2 linked regions of the Lepisosteus oculatus genome follow. The protein of the gene in region 2 interacts with the protein of the main gene of each other region in a biochemical or structural test. Links are inferred from orthologs where the notes say so. Each region holds a gene or a part of one and is shown on either strand. Other genes may lie near its edges. The genes, in order: pias4a and top2a.

Evidence for each region.
Region 1: of the proteins of top2a (region 2) and pias4a, one has a biochemical effect on the other in vitro, tested with the Homo sapiens proteins (2 studies listed by BioGRID). The link is inferred for Lepisosteus oculatus from reciprocal best matches to the Homo sapiens genes TOP2A and PIAS4.

What each region holds. Positions count from the first base shown.
Region 1 is NC_090724.1:8,882,597-8,890,242, forward strand, and holds the start of pias4a (E3 SUMO-protein ligase PIAS4-A), read right to left. Parts: upstream 3,003-7,646; 5' UTR 2,949-3,002; coding exon 2,922-2,948; intron 2,893-2,921; exon of another isoform or gene 2,558-2,892; intron 1,517-2,557; coding exon 1,117-1,516; intron 651-1,116; coding exon 566-650; intron 383-565; coding exon 341-382; intron 1-340. Other genes in the region: map2k2a (dual specificity mitogen-activated protein kinase kinase 2), read left to right, coding at 6,307-6,398.
Region 2 is NC_090723.1:6,354,296-6,362,266, forward strand, and holds the start of top2a (DNA topoisomerase 2-alpha), read left to right. Parts: upstream 1-4,817; 5' UTR 4,818-5,031; coding exon 5,032-5,055; intron 5,056-6,401; coding exon 6,402-6,545; intron 6,546-7,085; coding exon 7,086-7,176; intron 7,177-7,518; coding exon 7,519-7,582; intron 7,583-7,971. UniProt on the Homo sapiens protein: Key decatenating enzyme that alters DNA topology by binding to two double-stranded DNA molecules, generating a double-stranded break in one of the strands, passing the intact strand through the broken strand, and religating the broken strand.

The sequences.
Region 1 (7,646 bases), on a different chromosome or scaffold from region 2:
GGAATTCTATCAGAGCCCGGTCGATAATGTGAAGATCCGGCTGGGTGCCCCCTTTGAAGACTGCAGTCTAGCTTTTCTGCTGTGGCACCACGCTGGGGTCAGGCTCCAGTTTTCCCCCCACATCAGAGGATACACGACCTGCACTTCCAAAAAGCTACCAACGTACAACCATTACAGATATTTAACCTCTGGGAACATTCAATATCTCAAAGCACAGCAGCGGTGTGAGCCTTGAGTATTGCACTCAAGTGTTTCCCAGGAACAGTGATCCCGTATTGAGCCTCATCTTCCTGCGACAGAGAGGGAGACAGGCGAGATTCCCCAGAGAGAGCACACTCACCTGAGCACCACCTGGACAGACTTCACCCCGAGGCGCAGCTCCCTGGAACAGGAGACAGAGCGATCACTCAACACGGTTCTCTCTTTTTTTTGGCATGTAGGACATGTAGGTATTAAAGCACGAGCCTGTAAATGTCCGGATAGTAACCAGATGAAGAAGAGGTGGGTATTGAGCTCCTGCAGGTTTGGGAGCAGAGAGAGAGAGAGAGAGAGAGAGAGAGCTCACCGAGAATTCCTGATCTGCTCCACCTGGCTCTGGGACAGCTCAAAGGTGCACGGGCTGTCCTGGAGTTTCTCGCTGTTCTGGGGCACTAGGGAGACAGAGAGACAGTTACAGACCAGACTCGGGAAAGCTCTGCCAAAAAAGACTGTATCCCAGCGGCCTCCCCCTGGACCTGGGCAGTGTCTGTAGGTTTTCCAGGTCTCTTTAAAGCAGCAGCACCTGCAGGTTGAAGCTGTTCAATTGGTCCAATTAAGCCACTAACGAGCATCTTCAGCCATCAAGACCTTGGCTCCAATAAAAACCTGCAGTTTGCAGGGAAGCCGGAACCCGGGACCTGTTGGACAGTCCTGCTCCAGCCCAGGTGCTGCTGAAAAGACCGAGAATCTTGTCTCCAGTGAACTTCTGTTCACAGGGGTCACTGAAGGTCGGAAATCGCAGAATAAGAGAAACCGAACTACAAAGCAAACAGCAGGAAACAGAGGAGGGAGAGGGGAGACCACACAGGAGAAAGGGCACGGCCAGCAGCTCTCCCGGACGGGTCGGGGGGGACTCACCGAGCTCGGTGGGGTGCAGCAGCACGTCCACAGTCTTGTAGAAGGGCAGGGGCACCAGCTTGACGTCGGTGGGGGGTGTGGCGGCGGTGGCGGTGGCGGCGAGGCCGTTGAGGTAGTCCGCGCCCTGCGGGGGGGCCGGGGCCGGGTGCGGGGGGCTGCGGGCCGGGTAGGGCGCCTGCAGCAGCTCGGGGGGCCGAGGCCGCTGCGCCAGCCAGCCGGGCGCCTTGGGGAAGCGCGACTCGTACAGCTGGCGGATGGTCTTGAGCAGCTCCGGGCTGCACTCGCTCTGCACCAGCCGCAGGGCCCGGCCCACCAGGTCCTGCTTCAGCCCGCTCTTGCTGCGGCCCATGGAGGACAGCAGCGTCTGCAGGTCCGACACCCGGAAACTCTTCACCATGTTCTGCGGGGCGGAGAGGAAGACAAGAGACGCTGAGCACCTCCTCTCCGGACCCTGGACCCCCTCCCCGTCCCCCCAGACTCGTCGACATGCGCTGGGCGACCTCCTCCTGCTGCACCCCAGAGCCCCAGAGGGCTGTCTCCAAGGCAATTGGGGTCCCCTCTCCCCTCTCCCCGAGAGGGGACCGATCCGGACTCCACCCCTTCCTCTTCAGAAGCGCTTTGCCCGAACTGGATCTGCCTGCCCTTTGCACCGCGGGCCGCACTCAGAACCCTTGTTCTTTACTGGAAAGCACTTTAAAAAGCAGCTTTGAAAGGCGCTATATAAAACAAAAGATCCGCACGCAGCATCGACTCCTCTCCCCAAGCAGGAGACCAGAGGCACCGCTGTGGAAACTGGCGACACCGGGCAAGCCCTCCCAGCGCCCGGCTGCCTCTCAACACAAGCCCTTCACCCCAGGACGAGCCAGCCGGACTCGTCTTTGCTCCGCCTGCGTGCAGCCCGCAGACGCGGCCGGACCCTTACAGAGCAGCCGACACACCCGCCGGGGGCTCGGACAGAAACCCACGGGCACAAGACGTCACGCCAGCGGAGCCCGAGAGGACTAAAGGCGAACAGGGCTGACGACTTCTCTCAATCAAACAGCACGGAGTTCTCTCTAAATCCATCCGGCGAAAATCAGACTGCAACAACAGTTATGATCAGCTTTGAAGCGGGGCTTCCGTCTGCGTCGGCTGTTGCCCGTCTGCACACCGGGGCGCTGCTGGCTCTGCTCAGCCGGGGAGCACCAGCGCAGGGGGGCTGCTTTGCATCTCCGCCGGCTGGGGACCAGGCACGGGTGACGGCAACGACGGGTCGGGACTCCTGCGCTGCTCGGCGTCTCCAGCCACAGACGCCGACAAGGGTGCGCTCATCGGGGTCACCGCGGCGCCCCGGCCTCACGCTGGCGCCGGCCAGGTGCCGAGCCCGGACACCGGCCCTGCAGCTCCCTTCCCCCTGGGGGCAGCGGACAGGTCCGCCTCTCTCTCGCCGGGAAAAACACACCTCGTCGCTGTCAACCCGTGAAGACGGAAGCCCCTCTCACGCCGCGCAGGGTCCCTTCAGCTGCAGGCACACGCCGGGTGCGAGGTGCCGAGCTTGCAGGAGGGGAGTGAATGATTAAACCCGAGCCGCTCCGACTCCCCGCTGGCGGATGTTTTTATTTATGGATCTATCATTCATTATCCCATATGCCAGCGACCCCTCTTCACAACGGCTCTGCCCCCTGGCGTGAATCTCCCTGCCACCCCCAGCCTCGCCGCGCTGGGCTCCCGCCCTCCCCAGCCTCGCCCGAAGCCCCCGCTCGGCTGCCCCGGCCGCCCCCCGGCCCCTTGCCCAGCCGCCCGGGAGAAAGCAGCTCTCGACTTGCCATCGCTTCCACTAGCTCGGCCGCCATCTTCCTCCAGCAGCCCCGCGAGAGCCAAAACTAAGAAAGCGAGCTGGCCGCCAATGAGAGGCCGCGGGGTCACGTGCGGGGGAGCCGGGCCCACCAATCGGCGCACGGCCCGGTCACGTGGTGCGGGGGACTGCGCAAGAAAGGGGCGTGGCCGCTGGCTCTTAAAGCGACAGTGTTAGCAAAAAGTCGGGTCACACTTCCACATAGGCTGCCAGTGGCGCGCTAGGCCTCGGCACCCTAAAAAGGCGCATGGGCTGCCTGATATCACGGGGTGCCACCTTTTAGAGCTTGATAACCCCGGAATGAACGTGCGCTCCGAGGCAGCGCCAGGGTCTTCTTACATTAATCGCGTTTCTTTAGCGGTGTCAGTCGGAAGACAGCATGAGTCTGGGAGACTCCAGTCCGTATCCAGAATTCTACTTCACACCTCGCGTCCAACCAAACGGCTTTAGGAGAAGGAATGCAATGTGCGTTTTTAAACAGGTCCAACATCTTAATTAGATCATATCTTTTTTTCTTATCGACAGAAAGGCTTATGGAAATGTTTTTGTCTGGAAGGTTTGTAGAAACCAGTGTCTGATATTTTGCACTTTGTTAAAAAGATGGAAATGAGTGTCAGAATTGTGCATTCTAGGAGCTGGATCCAGGAATCCATTTCCATGTCTTTGAAGCTGAACAGCTCTTGTAAAACTGAATTAGTTAGGAAGGACACAAAGATACGCACACCCTGTAACCCCAAGTCCTTCCACAGACTGTTCATTCGGAATGATGTGCCAGGCATGACATCTCCAGCTCTAGGCTGTGGATAATACACAGTCGCCCCACCGTTCATGAAACCTTACTTTTTTTCCCCCATTTCCATGTTAACACACCAATTTCACGAAGACACACAGACTTTCGCAGTAACACACACTAACACACAGTAACACACAGTGTGAACATGTCTGGCCAGTGAGCAACCCCACCAGCAGGAGGAGGGTGGAGGAAAGATGAAGATGGTGAATGGCTGTGCCGGATCTCCCATGGGGCCGTGCTGGCACAGCTGCTAGGGCCTAGGACATTTTTAGGGCCTACGAAGGAGGGAAACACTCCTGACTGACGAGCTGAAACAACATGCTTGCTCCACATCAACAATCCCACGCTCTCTAGCAGCTGTTCTAGAAACTAGAAGTGTGGAAGTGATGGTCTCTCGACTCGCCCCATCAATCGCCTGGTTTAGCATGAGAAGAGCGTAGAGAGGTTATGAGGAGCCATCGTAAATAGCTGTCAGTGTTTGCTGTTTGTCCTTGTAACCCACTGAAAACTGAAGTACCCCTCCTTAATTCTTACCGCGTGTGTGTGTGTGTCAGTGTGTGTGTCAGTGAGTGAGTGTGCGTGTGTGTGTAACCCCTTCAAGGAGTTTTAATCTCTGTCTATCAAGTCCAACAGGCGGAGGTAAATAAACGAGTTGTTGTTGGCACATCAGGGGTGTGTGAGCTCCATTCTGTGCGAATCCCCCGGTCCTCACAATAGTTTAAAGTGCATCATGTCAATCGACGTCATTCAACTGGCGTTGACCCCTCTCCTGGCACATTTCGGAGTGAAAGTGCCGAGGGCCGACGAGCACCACAGTCCGGCCCTGGCGAGAGGGAGAGTCAGTGTTTGTCAGCGGGGGATGATGGGATGTTGCTCTGGGAGCGCAGGCAGGGAGACCGGCTGTCAGGCTCAGGAGCAGTCGTCGGGTGGCCATGTCTCACTCTGCTGGGATTAGACTGCAGATCGTCGGGGGACAGACCCTGTCACCTGCAGTGAGTCTACCTCATTCCTTCCTCCCCTCCGGCCTCCAGGAGCCCCAACAGCTGTTCTGAGGAGTGTTTCATGCCGGTCAGGACACTGGCCCGCAGTGGGTCTCGTGGAGCAAGACAGCGCAGACACTGGGCAGACACTGTGAGCAGCTCGCCACAGAAACGGAGCTGACCAGCTGTGATCCTGCCTCTCAATTGCAGGACTCCCCCCAGGAGGTCCAAGACTGGACAGAGCAGGATGTGCAAGTGCAAGAGCACTACTACCGTTCTTATGCAAACATTTTATTTCAAATCCACCTGGGAATCTAGAAGTGTTGCGTTCCTATCGATATATATATATATGAATTATATATGTATTCCTATATATATTTTTGTGTGTGCGTGTCTAAGTCTGCTCCTGGAGCATTATAAGGACAGACAGCATTGCGCGTTGTGACAGGCAGGAACACTCGCGGTCGAAGCCACTCTGTTTCTGGAGTTACTCCATCCCGCCGCCAGAGGTCGCTGCGTGCAGCTCCAGGCGCGACCTCTAATCTCGCGAGATTTATGTTGCAACCCTGGACCGGATTCCGCTGATCGTGAAGGATGTGTGGGTGACAGATCTCGCGAGATTCCGTGGGACCCCTCCTGGCCGCGTCTGCTGCTACTGCTACTGCTTCCTGAACCGGGACCCGAACTGAGTCCCCGCCGCCCAGCTGAGAGCCTAACCGAGCCGGCGTCCCCCGGCCCATCCAGTGGACATTCGCCGCAGACACCCCGCTCACGCCCTCTCCCCGCCGCAAGGGCCGCGCAGCCTCGGGCTCTAGTGTTCGCTGCCACCGGGGGACCCTGCCTCCCTTTTCCGCGTCCGCAGAGCCGGAGACAGGCCGCGGCCGCGGTGCGCCCCAGGACAACACCAGAGACGGTCTTTCTCTCTAAACAACAGCTGAAGACTCTGAAGGAAAGGAAAAGAGACAAACGCGGTGATATGCTGTTTATTTATTTTTTCCTGGCGTCTTCCTTCAAGTGATCACTTTTCCGTACGTGTCTGAAGGTACCCGGGGGACTCGCACCTTGAAGAGGAGACTCGGGTGTTTTCAACGTTTCAAAAGCTGCAAAACCCGATTCTAACCTCCGCGCTTCGGGACGGGCAGAGGTGCCGGGGCCGCGATATTCATCCTGTCGGATGCAGACGTCGATCCGTGTGCGGTAGTCGCGCTGCTGCTGCCCGTGTCCCAGCCCCGCCGGCAGACCGGTGGCCATTAGCGACCCACCTTCCCGACCGGACCGGACCGCCCGCCCGCAGCTCTTGAGAAGGGGATGTCGCTGTGAAGAACAGCATCTCAGCTGTCAAAAAACACCCACTATCGGGGCACTCGTGCATTTCAGCTTTAATTGTCCAAAAGAAAACCTTTCCCAAGCCGGCCTGTAGAGGCGGGTGGGGGCTGCAGTCGAGACGGGGCCGCCGAAATCTCTCTCTATGTTTTAATCTGGGCTCCCGACTGGAGCTTCTGATTCAGCGAACCAGCGCCGAGTCGGTTTTCCCGGTCCAGTGCGAGCTGTGCGGGCTGGGTCGCGCCTGAGGCCCGAGCGAGATGGCTCCGAAGAAGAGGCCGATGCCGCTGAACATCACCCCCACGGGCGGGGAGGGCCAGCCCGGTCCCAACGCCGTGGACGCCGCGTCCGAGTGAGTACCTTCCGGGGGGAGCGGGTCAGCTGCTGGGGGGGGGGGGGTGTTAATGTGTTTAAAAAGTCTTCTTGCCCGAAAGGTTAGTGCATCAGTGGCCTGGAGTGAAAACGTAGCCGCGGAGCAGGGCTGAGCTGATACCGGGCGTGTGTAGGGTGTGTCGGGGGTTTGAGACCCGCTTGCTGACGGACACATCAGCAGGAAGGGTGCGACAGCGGGGTCTGGACTGGAAGGTTGGGGGTCCCCCCCCTGAGCCGGATGCTGCACCCAGAGAGCCGCAGGGAAAGACCCCGCTGTAGGAGAGGGCGCACATGGGAGTCGCTTTGTATCAAAGGGCATCGGGGAAAGATCAGTAACCTGTCGAGTTTCACCTGTTCAGACCAGTTTGTCATGAGCGCTCCCATACAAAGACATTAAAGGAATCGCCCAAAACACCAACACTGAGCAGCAGCAACAACAATAAGTTAATAAATGAGTAGCTCAGCGTAAAAGAGTGCAGGGCAGCAGTGTGTTCAGTAGCTCAGGGTGAGAATGCAGGGCAGCAGTGTGTTCAGTAGCTCAGGGTGAGAATGCAGGGCTGCAGTGTGTTCAGTAGCTCAGGGTGAGAATGCAGGGCTGCAGTGTGTTCAGTAGCTCAGGGTGAGAATGCAGGGCAGCAGTCTGTTCAGTAGCTCAGTGTGAGTGCTGGGCAGCAGTGTGTTCAGTAGCTCAACGTAAGAGAGTGCAGGGCAGCAGTGTGTTCAGTAGCTCAGTGTTATAGTGCTGGGCTGCAGTTTGTTCAGTAGCTCAGTGTTACAGTGCTGGGCTGCAGTGTGTTCAGTAGCTCAGCGTAAGAGAGTGCAGGGCAGCAGTGTGTTCAGTAGCTCAGCATGAGAGTGCTGGGCTGCAGTGTGTTCAGTAGCTCAGCATGAGAGTGCTGGGCTGCAGTGTGTTCAGTAGCTCAGCATAAGAGAGTGCAGGGCAGCAGTGTGTTCAGCAGCTCAGTGTGAGAATGCAGGGCAGCAGTGTGTTCAGTAGCTCAGCATGAGAATGCAGGGCAGCAGTGTGTTCAGTAGCTGAGCGTGAGAGTGCAGGGCTGCAGTGTGTTCAGTAGCTCAGTGTGAGAGTGCAGGGCTGCAGTGTGTTCAGTAGCTCAGCGTGAGAGTGCTGGGCAGCAGTGTGTTCAGTGTTCAGTTTGTCACGAGCGCTCCTGTACAAAGACGTTAAGGAATCACCGTTACCCCGGAGCAGCAGCAGTGTCCGTATGGA
Region 2 (7,971 bases):
AACTGCTCAGTGACACTCATGTTTGCATGTGCTATTTGCTCTGCTGAGGTGACAGTGTGTTTTGTTATCCCTCTGATGTGCAATTTACAATCAAACTCCTTTCCTGTTGCTCCCTTTCACCATTCCTCTGCAAGGAGACCACAGTGGAGGTTGGACACTCCTTTGGTGTTAAACCAGATAAAATTCACAAATGCAGGGGTAAAGGAGTCTTGATTAATTATTTTATAATTCATTAATTTGTTTATTGCTAGAAGGCATCATTTTGCTGATACTCAAGGTATGTGTTTGTTACAATATGTATTATGAGCAGGTCACAAATCTTTTGCTTGAATGTATTGTGCCCACATAACTGAAGTTCTCCATCTTGTTTTAGAATCCCAAGGCATTTGTGCGTGTTAATTTGTACTTTTGCATGTTACACTAAATAAATAACAACATTATGAAAAATACTGACGTTGACAGCTGTGAGGAGCCTTTCTAAAGCAGTGACAAACTTGTGTGCCATATTCCACACTCACTGGCCAAAATATTAGCAACCCCCACCCCCAGTCAAAGATGCAGGCCATGAAGAGCCTGAGACAGACTTCGATCCCCAGACTTTCTGAACACACAGTATCACAACCTCGACTGAAGGTGACCCAGCTAGAGGAGCTGGGGGATGGCTCAGTGGCTCAAATGGTAATATGCTTGCCTGAGCATTAGGTAGAGTTCTGTGACCTCAGGTTCGAGCCCGGGTCAGGTCACTAACTGGGATGCTGGGATGTCTGGGAATCCCAGAATGGTGGTGAACAGTTGGCCGAGAGCTGCAGAGGGTGGGGAAGGGGGATTAGTCAGCTAGAGAGGTCTTGGATGTTAGCGACAGTGACCCCCTGTGGCCTCCCAGGGACTTGCAGGCTCACGGGGCTGTTGGTAAACAGCCTCTCCTGCAGGGGGCAGTGTGGCACCTTGGATGCCTTTAAGACAAGCGGCTCAGAGGTGGGTGGATCGGAGGGCGTTGCCCCACCTTTCTCGTTCTCTCCTCCCTGTGTGCGGTTGTGGGGTTCGTGAGCTGGGCATCAAAATGTGAAAAACACATGATTAGCTCTTCCAGGCTGGGTGGATATAAGGAGAACAATTGGAGACGCATACATTAAGAAGAAGAAGAATGGGGGCTGCAAACAGATCAGAATTTTGCAGAATACAAGCTACGTCCTCTGCTGTGTTTGCAGCAGGGGGGGGGGTCCTAATATTTTGTCCAACAAGTGTAGCACTCCTGGCGAAGAGTGAAAGAGCCCCAGAATGAGCGGAAAAAGCAGACCGCGGTAAAATAGGGGTTCAGAAATTAACGAAGCGGTATGCTATTGAAACTGAAGGGTTAACACCTTCACTGCAAAACACAGCTAATATTTTATTAATAGTAAGTGCAGCAATCATCAAGATCCTGACGGTTTGCTAACCTGAATATCCGCTGGCGGCACGCTGCATAATGACATCCAAACAGCTAATGAATACATTAGAGATGCAGAGAGAAAGATTTCAGCGCAACATCAAGGATGAATAACATAATTGCCTGAAGGAGCAATTGCAGGGAAAACAATTTCAGCTTTGCTGCTTGCATGTCACCACAGGACATGCTTTTGGTTTTCCTGCTTGTTTTTTTTGGGGGGGGGGGTTCTAGACAAATTTAAAGTTGTCGCCTTCAACTATTTTAGGATATCCCACGCCCAAACCCAGTCCAGAACCTTAAGGCTAAACATAACTTTAAATCTAACTCTAAGTTTGTGCCATTATTGAGCGTAATCCAGCTTTTCTCCCTAAACCTTATTGTGACTCTAAATATAACTCTACTCTGTTGTTCACTCCAATGCTAACCCCACCCCAGCTCTGACAGCTGGGAATAATGGATACCATTGTCAGGCCAAACAATGGATTCCAGTCTAGTGCAGAGTGCCGGATCGTCATGGCACAGGGCCACAGCCGTCAAGTGGCTGGACTCTGTTATTGATGCAGTCTGTGCCTTCCTTGCTCAGTCTTGCACTCTCGGGCTGAGCTCTGCTCTGCTGCCTGACCAAGGGAGGGAGGACTTTGATAGCAGTCCGCCCGGCCTCTTCCCCGTCCATTTTCATCGCTCCTGTGGTGCTTTCCCAGGGTCTACTCTTCGCTGTGTTACAGCCCACAGTCAGGAGTGGATCAATGCTGAATCCGAGACTGCCCCGGCCATCTCTCCCGCACTGGTCGGCACTGACCTCCTTTCCGACCAGTGCCGGGCATTTCCGGCACCTCCTTGGACTTACTGAGGCTGAATTTTACAGTGCCCGGTGCAAGCAAAGGCACTGTGCGCTTCCGCTGGAGATTAAAAATAGTTAAAGGCGTCTTACAATCACAATTACAATCAGTAGGCTTTTTATTGAAGTTAAAATCGGAGGAAAGCAGTTTTGAAAATTCATGGACGTGTGCCCTCTAGCTGTGCTGTAAAGGAGGGATGGTAGGTGAGATGGACACTTGGGAACCTCCAATAAAAGTGAACGCAACTGCTTGACAGCACCTGAGACACTGATCCCTCCAGCAGGGGGCACTGTGACATCAAACGTATTCTAATGCTTCTTTCTCCTGCACTTCTGGCATTTTAAATCATGAAATCATGAAGCACACTTTCAAAACAATAAACACCCATCTAAAATGGCCACATCTATGATGTGTTCTGTTCAGGATTTGAAATGGCTTATATTTCAAAAGGAAATGTCAATGACTTCTGCGTTCTGAGATGCTGTTTTTGACATTTTGGAATCACTTGCAAGGAGAAACTGGTATGCAATGGTTTTTTTTTTCCTAACCGCAAACCATCTATCTAAATGTCATTTTGCTGCAATAAAGGTCTCCCACGAAACAAAGATCCTTAGGCATGTACTGTAAGATAGGATCTCAGAATAACCCTGTCTTTCAATACCTTCACCAAGTCACAAGGGCTGAGGGCCAGACAGAACTAATGACATCAAGCAATAAAGTGTGTCCCAGGAAGATCTGCTTTTGCTGTGTTGAGTGGCCATCTTGCAGCACTGCAGTCTGGCCTCGCTGATCAGCATCAACGCATTGGGATGGGCTTCTATCAGCAACCTTGCCTGGGCTAAATTTAGCCTGACCTTGAGGATCAGCAGGGCCCCCCTTGGGATCCACAGCACAGCCCCTCCGCTGTTTGGAGCCTGCTCACTCCGGCATCAGCACGGGGCCCACAGCTGTCACTCAGTATTAACAGAGCACGCGGGCTGACAGAAAACATCCCCTGCCCGAGCCAGGGCTCTCAGGCCAGCGATCGGACGGCCGCCCAAGTGCAGTGGACGAGCAGGCCCGATGCAGGCGTAGATATGTGTGTAGCATACTCCAACGGCAGCGTTAATAAGCCCAGGCCCTGACCTGCTCCCACATCCGGCTGAAACTGGTATGTGAAGGTGCTGGGCAAGCACACTGTGAACTGGAGAAAGTGGCTATCAAACAGATAGATGAACAGTACCTCTGACAAGCCTGGAATCTCCAGGCGCCTCTCAGCCACTTTGTCAAATAGCTCACTTGTAAAACACAAGTACTGAAGGAAGAAGGGTTCAGAGAACAGGGAGAGGACAGTGCAGACAGTGGGCTCAGCGTGGAGACAGTGTGCACATGGTTACAGGCCAGACTGAGGTTACAGTGAGTCCCATGTCATAATAATAATAATATATAATAATAAACTTTATTTTATATAGCGCCTTTAAAGGTGGCTTCTCAAAGTGCTTTGCAGGATGACAACAACAATAAGAAGAATACACAAGATAAAACACAATTATAATATATAGAGGAGACCACGGACACGTTTAGTCATGAGCTAAATATATATTATATTAAACAAAACAAAAAACAACAGTCACAAAGGCTGAGGAGGATGGTAACAACAACAACAATAATAAAATAATAATAATAATAATAAAATAATAATAATAATAATAATAATAATAATAATAATAATAATAATAATAATAATAATATGCTCACACCGGAAGAAGGCTCCATGGCCGAAACGTTGTTTTCTTTCTTCTTTTCAGAATGGAATAAACCTATTACTTGTTCCTAATAATAATAATAATGTTGCAAATGGGGGGTGACCAGACTGGTGAAAATTACTTTCCACAGATAAACACAAACGGGGTGGGGTGAGAGCGTACAGTGACGGGGGGTTACAGCGAGAAATAGCTTTTTTTGCTGGTCTTCACGTGTTAACTTTTGCTTGGAACACGATGCCATCTATCGGATATCCTTATCGGTACACATAGTCGACATTTCTTCCTGATTATGCTAGCGAGCTGGTCCTGCCGCGGCAAATAACGTGTTCTCAAGCTCCAGAGAGGTTTCCACATGGAGTCATAATATAGAGTCCTGTATTCGGGGGAAGTCTTTTTACATACAGCGTTACTGCATACAGTTTAAAGTACGGATACATAACTGCACAAACAAAATAAAAATCTTATAACAACAACGTTTAAAGTCCAGCTTTGCACAATCGTAGTGCATTTTGGATCAAAGCTATTAAAAAAAACCCTACAGCTGCTTAAAGATTATTAAACCTACGATTCAGCGCGAAACCAATGCTGGTTACTCTCCTCTCTTGATGTGATTGGCTATTTCAACTTGCGACGCACCGCCCCGTCCTGTCCACGATAACCAATGTGAGACGAAGAACATGTTGCTGTGTCCTGTGATTGGTCAATGACAGCACTTGAGCGGAAACAGCCACGAAAAAAAAACAATTTCAAACGGAAGTCAGTAGGCTTCGCGGGATCTGATTGGTCAATCTTTGAAGCGCAATGTAAACGTATTTTTAAATTTGAAAATGCAGTTCGGTGAAGGGTTGGCTCTTTGTCGGTTGTGGTAGTCAGTGTTATTCTGTAGAGGTTTAAAGTGTAGTGCTAGGTTCGGTTGAGAGGGTTTTGTTAGCGTTGATATTTTTAGCTTTATTCATCTGTTTTAGTAAAACAGCCATTCTCTGTTTTATATAGGTTGTAATACCGCTCGAATAGTTAAGAAATGGCCTCTGAAGGAACGCTGAAGGTAAGGTTAATGTCGACGAGCATGCTGGTGGTATCTGTGGAGGGAAAACCGAAATCTGGAGCCGAATGCTTACTTGAAAATATTATATACCTGTTTCTTTCCTCGTCTGTGCACGATTAAACAATTCTATTTCATTTGGGCTAATAAACACGGTTTTACATTCATGTTCAAAACCGTTATGTAAGGCAAAAAGACTTGCGGGGTGGAGGGAGTTTTTAATCTGGGATTATGAAAACAATCAGAACAGTAAAAAACTGGATTTATGACCGCATTCCAATCCTCCAATGCTAAAATATTATTTTAATGTAAAGTTTTCCAGATAAGTGCTTTCGATTTCGTCTTGGGACATATTTTCTTTTTTCTTTTCTGGCGAGGGTAAATTGTCCTGTTTGCGTGCAGCCTGCGATCGCAGCCGGTGATGGGTATGAAAATCAGATTTCAGATCGTGAATGTCCCCAGGTCGTTGAAGTGCTTACAAAATGGCGAGAACTGGACTCAGTTTGTCATGCCCCCTGACGGTCATCCTACCTCGATTTCCCTAAAACTACGATTCCGTGATTTCTGCTTTACTTATTCGGCTGCAAGAACTGAATTATTGACCAGTTCTCATCTTACTGTCCCAGCGGAACCAAGGAAAGTAGAGTTCGGCGTTTTGATAACCTTTCTTAATTACCACAGTGACAGGCATTGTATCTGGGACGAAGAATTTTCCGAGATATTTCAATTATAAATTTTGGGGGTAAATATTGTGGGGTTTGACTAAATAGAACGCAGCTGCTACATGGGATGTCTAGTCTTTCTTGTGTACAGAAACGAAAGACTATTTACACTTGCAAATGTTAAGTGCTTCGGTCTGGGACGAGCGGGGCGGAAGAGCGTTGTCCGTTAACTTTTTTTTTTGGTCAAGTTTACAATCTGGTGGCAGCGAGCCGAACTTCAGTCCGTCCCGTCCCCCTAAATCTTTTTAAATCCCTACCGCCTGTGGCATTGACACGCATCGCTTTCTTCTCTTACGACACCAGAGTAAGGCACAATCATTTCATGCAGCACTTTTCCTGTGGGAAGTTAAAAACCGTTTCAGACTCCTTGATGGCATGAGCTAAACGGTAAACCGAACTTCACCTCTGCAGGGCTGGTTTTCATTCCAGCGCACCTATTAATAATACAATTGAACTGGTAATTGGCTTCATTTAAGCTCTTTTGCCAGAACTTTTCCCTGCTGTGGATCTTTAAAACCCGCTGGACAGTGGCTCTCCCAGACGGGGATTCTAAATACCAGTCCACAGGGCGCGTTTGTAAAGCCAAATTGCTGTCGCCCACCTCTTGCCCTTTTGTGTCCCCTGCAGACGATGTTTGAGAACAAGCCTGTGAGCAAGGCGAAGGATGATAAGCGTCTGTCTGTGGAGAGGATCTACCAGAAGAAGACGCAGTTGGAGCACATTCTGCTCCGTCCCGACACCTACATCGGGTCTGTGGAGCCCGTGACACAGGTGAGCACTTGTGACACAGGCGGGCAGGCACCTGGCCATGCAGTTTGCAGTGTGGCAGCTCTTTATATATCCGGGAAAGTGTAGGCAGAGGCTGGATTCATGCTGTTTATTACCCCGTTTTAGTGGATGGATGTTATTTTTGTCAACTCAAAGCTAGTGCATTAATACTTTCGTGATCATTTAAGGGAGGGTGTCTCATATCTTTTCGCCATGTGTACTCTAAACTGTAGTACATTATGCAATGGTACAAGGTTATATGTCAGTTTGGTTGTTTGTGATGGTTCTCTGCACTGAACCCTTGTGGATGTTGAGAACCTGCTGTAGTTGGACAGTCCAGTAAGAAATGCAGCCTATGGTGGATTCCCTAGTTTCTAGTATGTTTCCTAATGCAGAGTTCCGGCATGCTTTGCAATGTTACTGCATTGAATGAAGGCTGTGGCACCAGTCAACTAACAATCAGCTCACACTGAAATCTTGTTGAAGAGCCCCAGTTTGATGTTCCACAATAGATAACTAAGTTTTGATGGCCTTCTTTTCTAGCAAATGTGGGTGATGGATGAAGAAATCGGAATGAACTGCAGAGATGTGACTTTTGTTCCTGGCTTGTACAAGATCTTTGATGAAATCCTTGGTAGGTACTAATCAATAATGTGAGGTGGTGTCAGAGTAGCCTTCTGCTGTAATAATTTGTGCTTAATTGACAAAGATGTGTCTCTCTTCCGGACATTGTTATACCATACAGCATTGAGCCATTGATCTTTTTCATAGCGCCACAGGATAATGGACGGTGTGTATTTGTTTTCTAACATTGCCGTAAGAGGATATTTCCATGGATCCTTTTGACTCTGTGCATATTAATGATCAACAGTATTAAACACAGCTTTTCAAGATTATTGAAAATTGAGCTAGAAAATCTGTTCTTCTGTTTGAAAAATAAGTAAAAGCCTAAATCTAAGATCTTGTTTTTCTCCAGTGAATGCTGCAGATAACAAACAGCGGGATAAGAAGATGTCCTGCATCAAGATCAACATTGACCCGTGAGTGATGTTCTAGAATATAGTCAAGGGTGCAATCGAGTCGACAGTTTAGCGTTAACATTTTAACATTTCAGTACCTAGAGTGTTTTTTTCAAATGTAGATACTTTATTTTATTGTGGTTTCGGAACTGAAAACCATGAAAAAGCTCAAGTTAAATAAATCCCTGGATCATTTAACAGTAAATGACTTAATTGGAGGAAAAATCAAAAGCCACTGGGCTTCGCAAACCCTGCCTTAGTCACATACTTGCCCTGTAATCCACCGCTACACTTATTCCTACACTAGTACACTATTATGGAAACAATTATCAATGACACACCTCTAAAAAATCACTTGAGTGTCACTGACTCTCGGAAATCCTTTCTATCACCTGGATCAAAATGTTTGT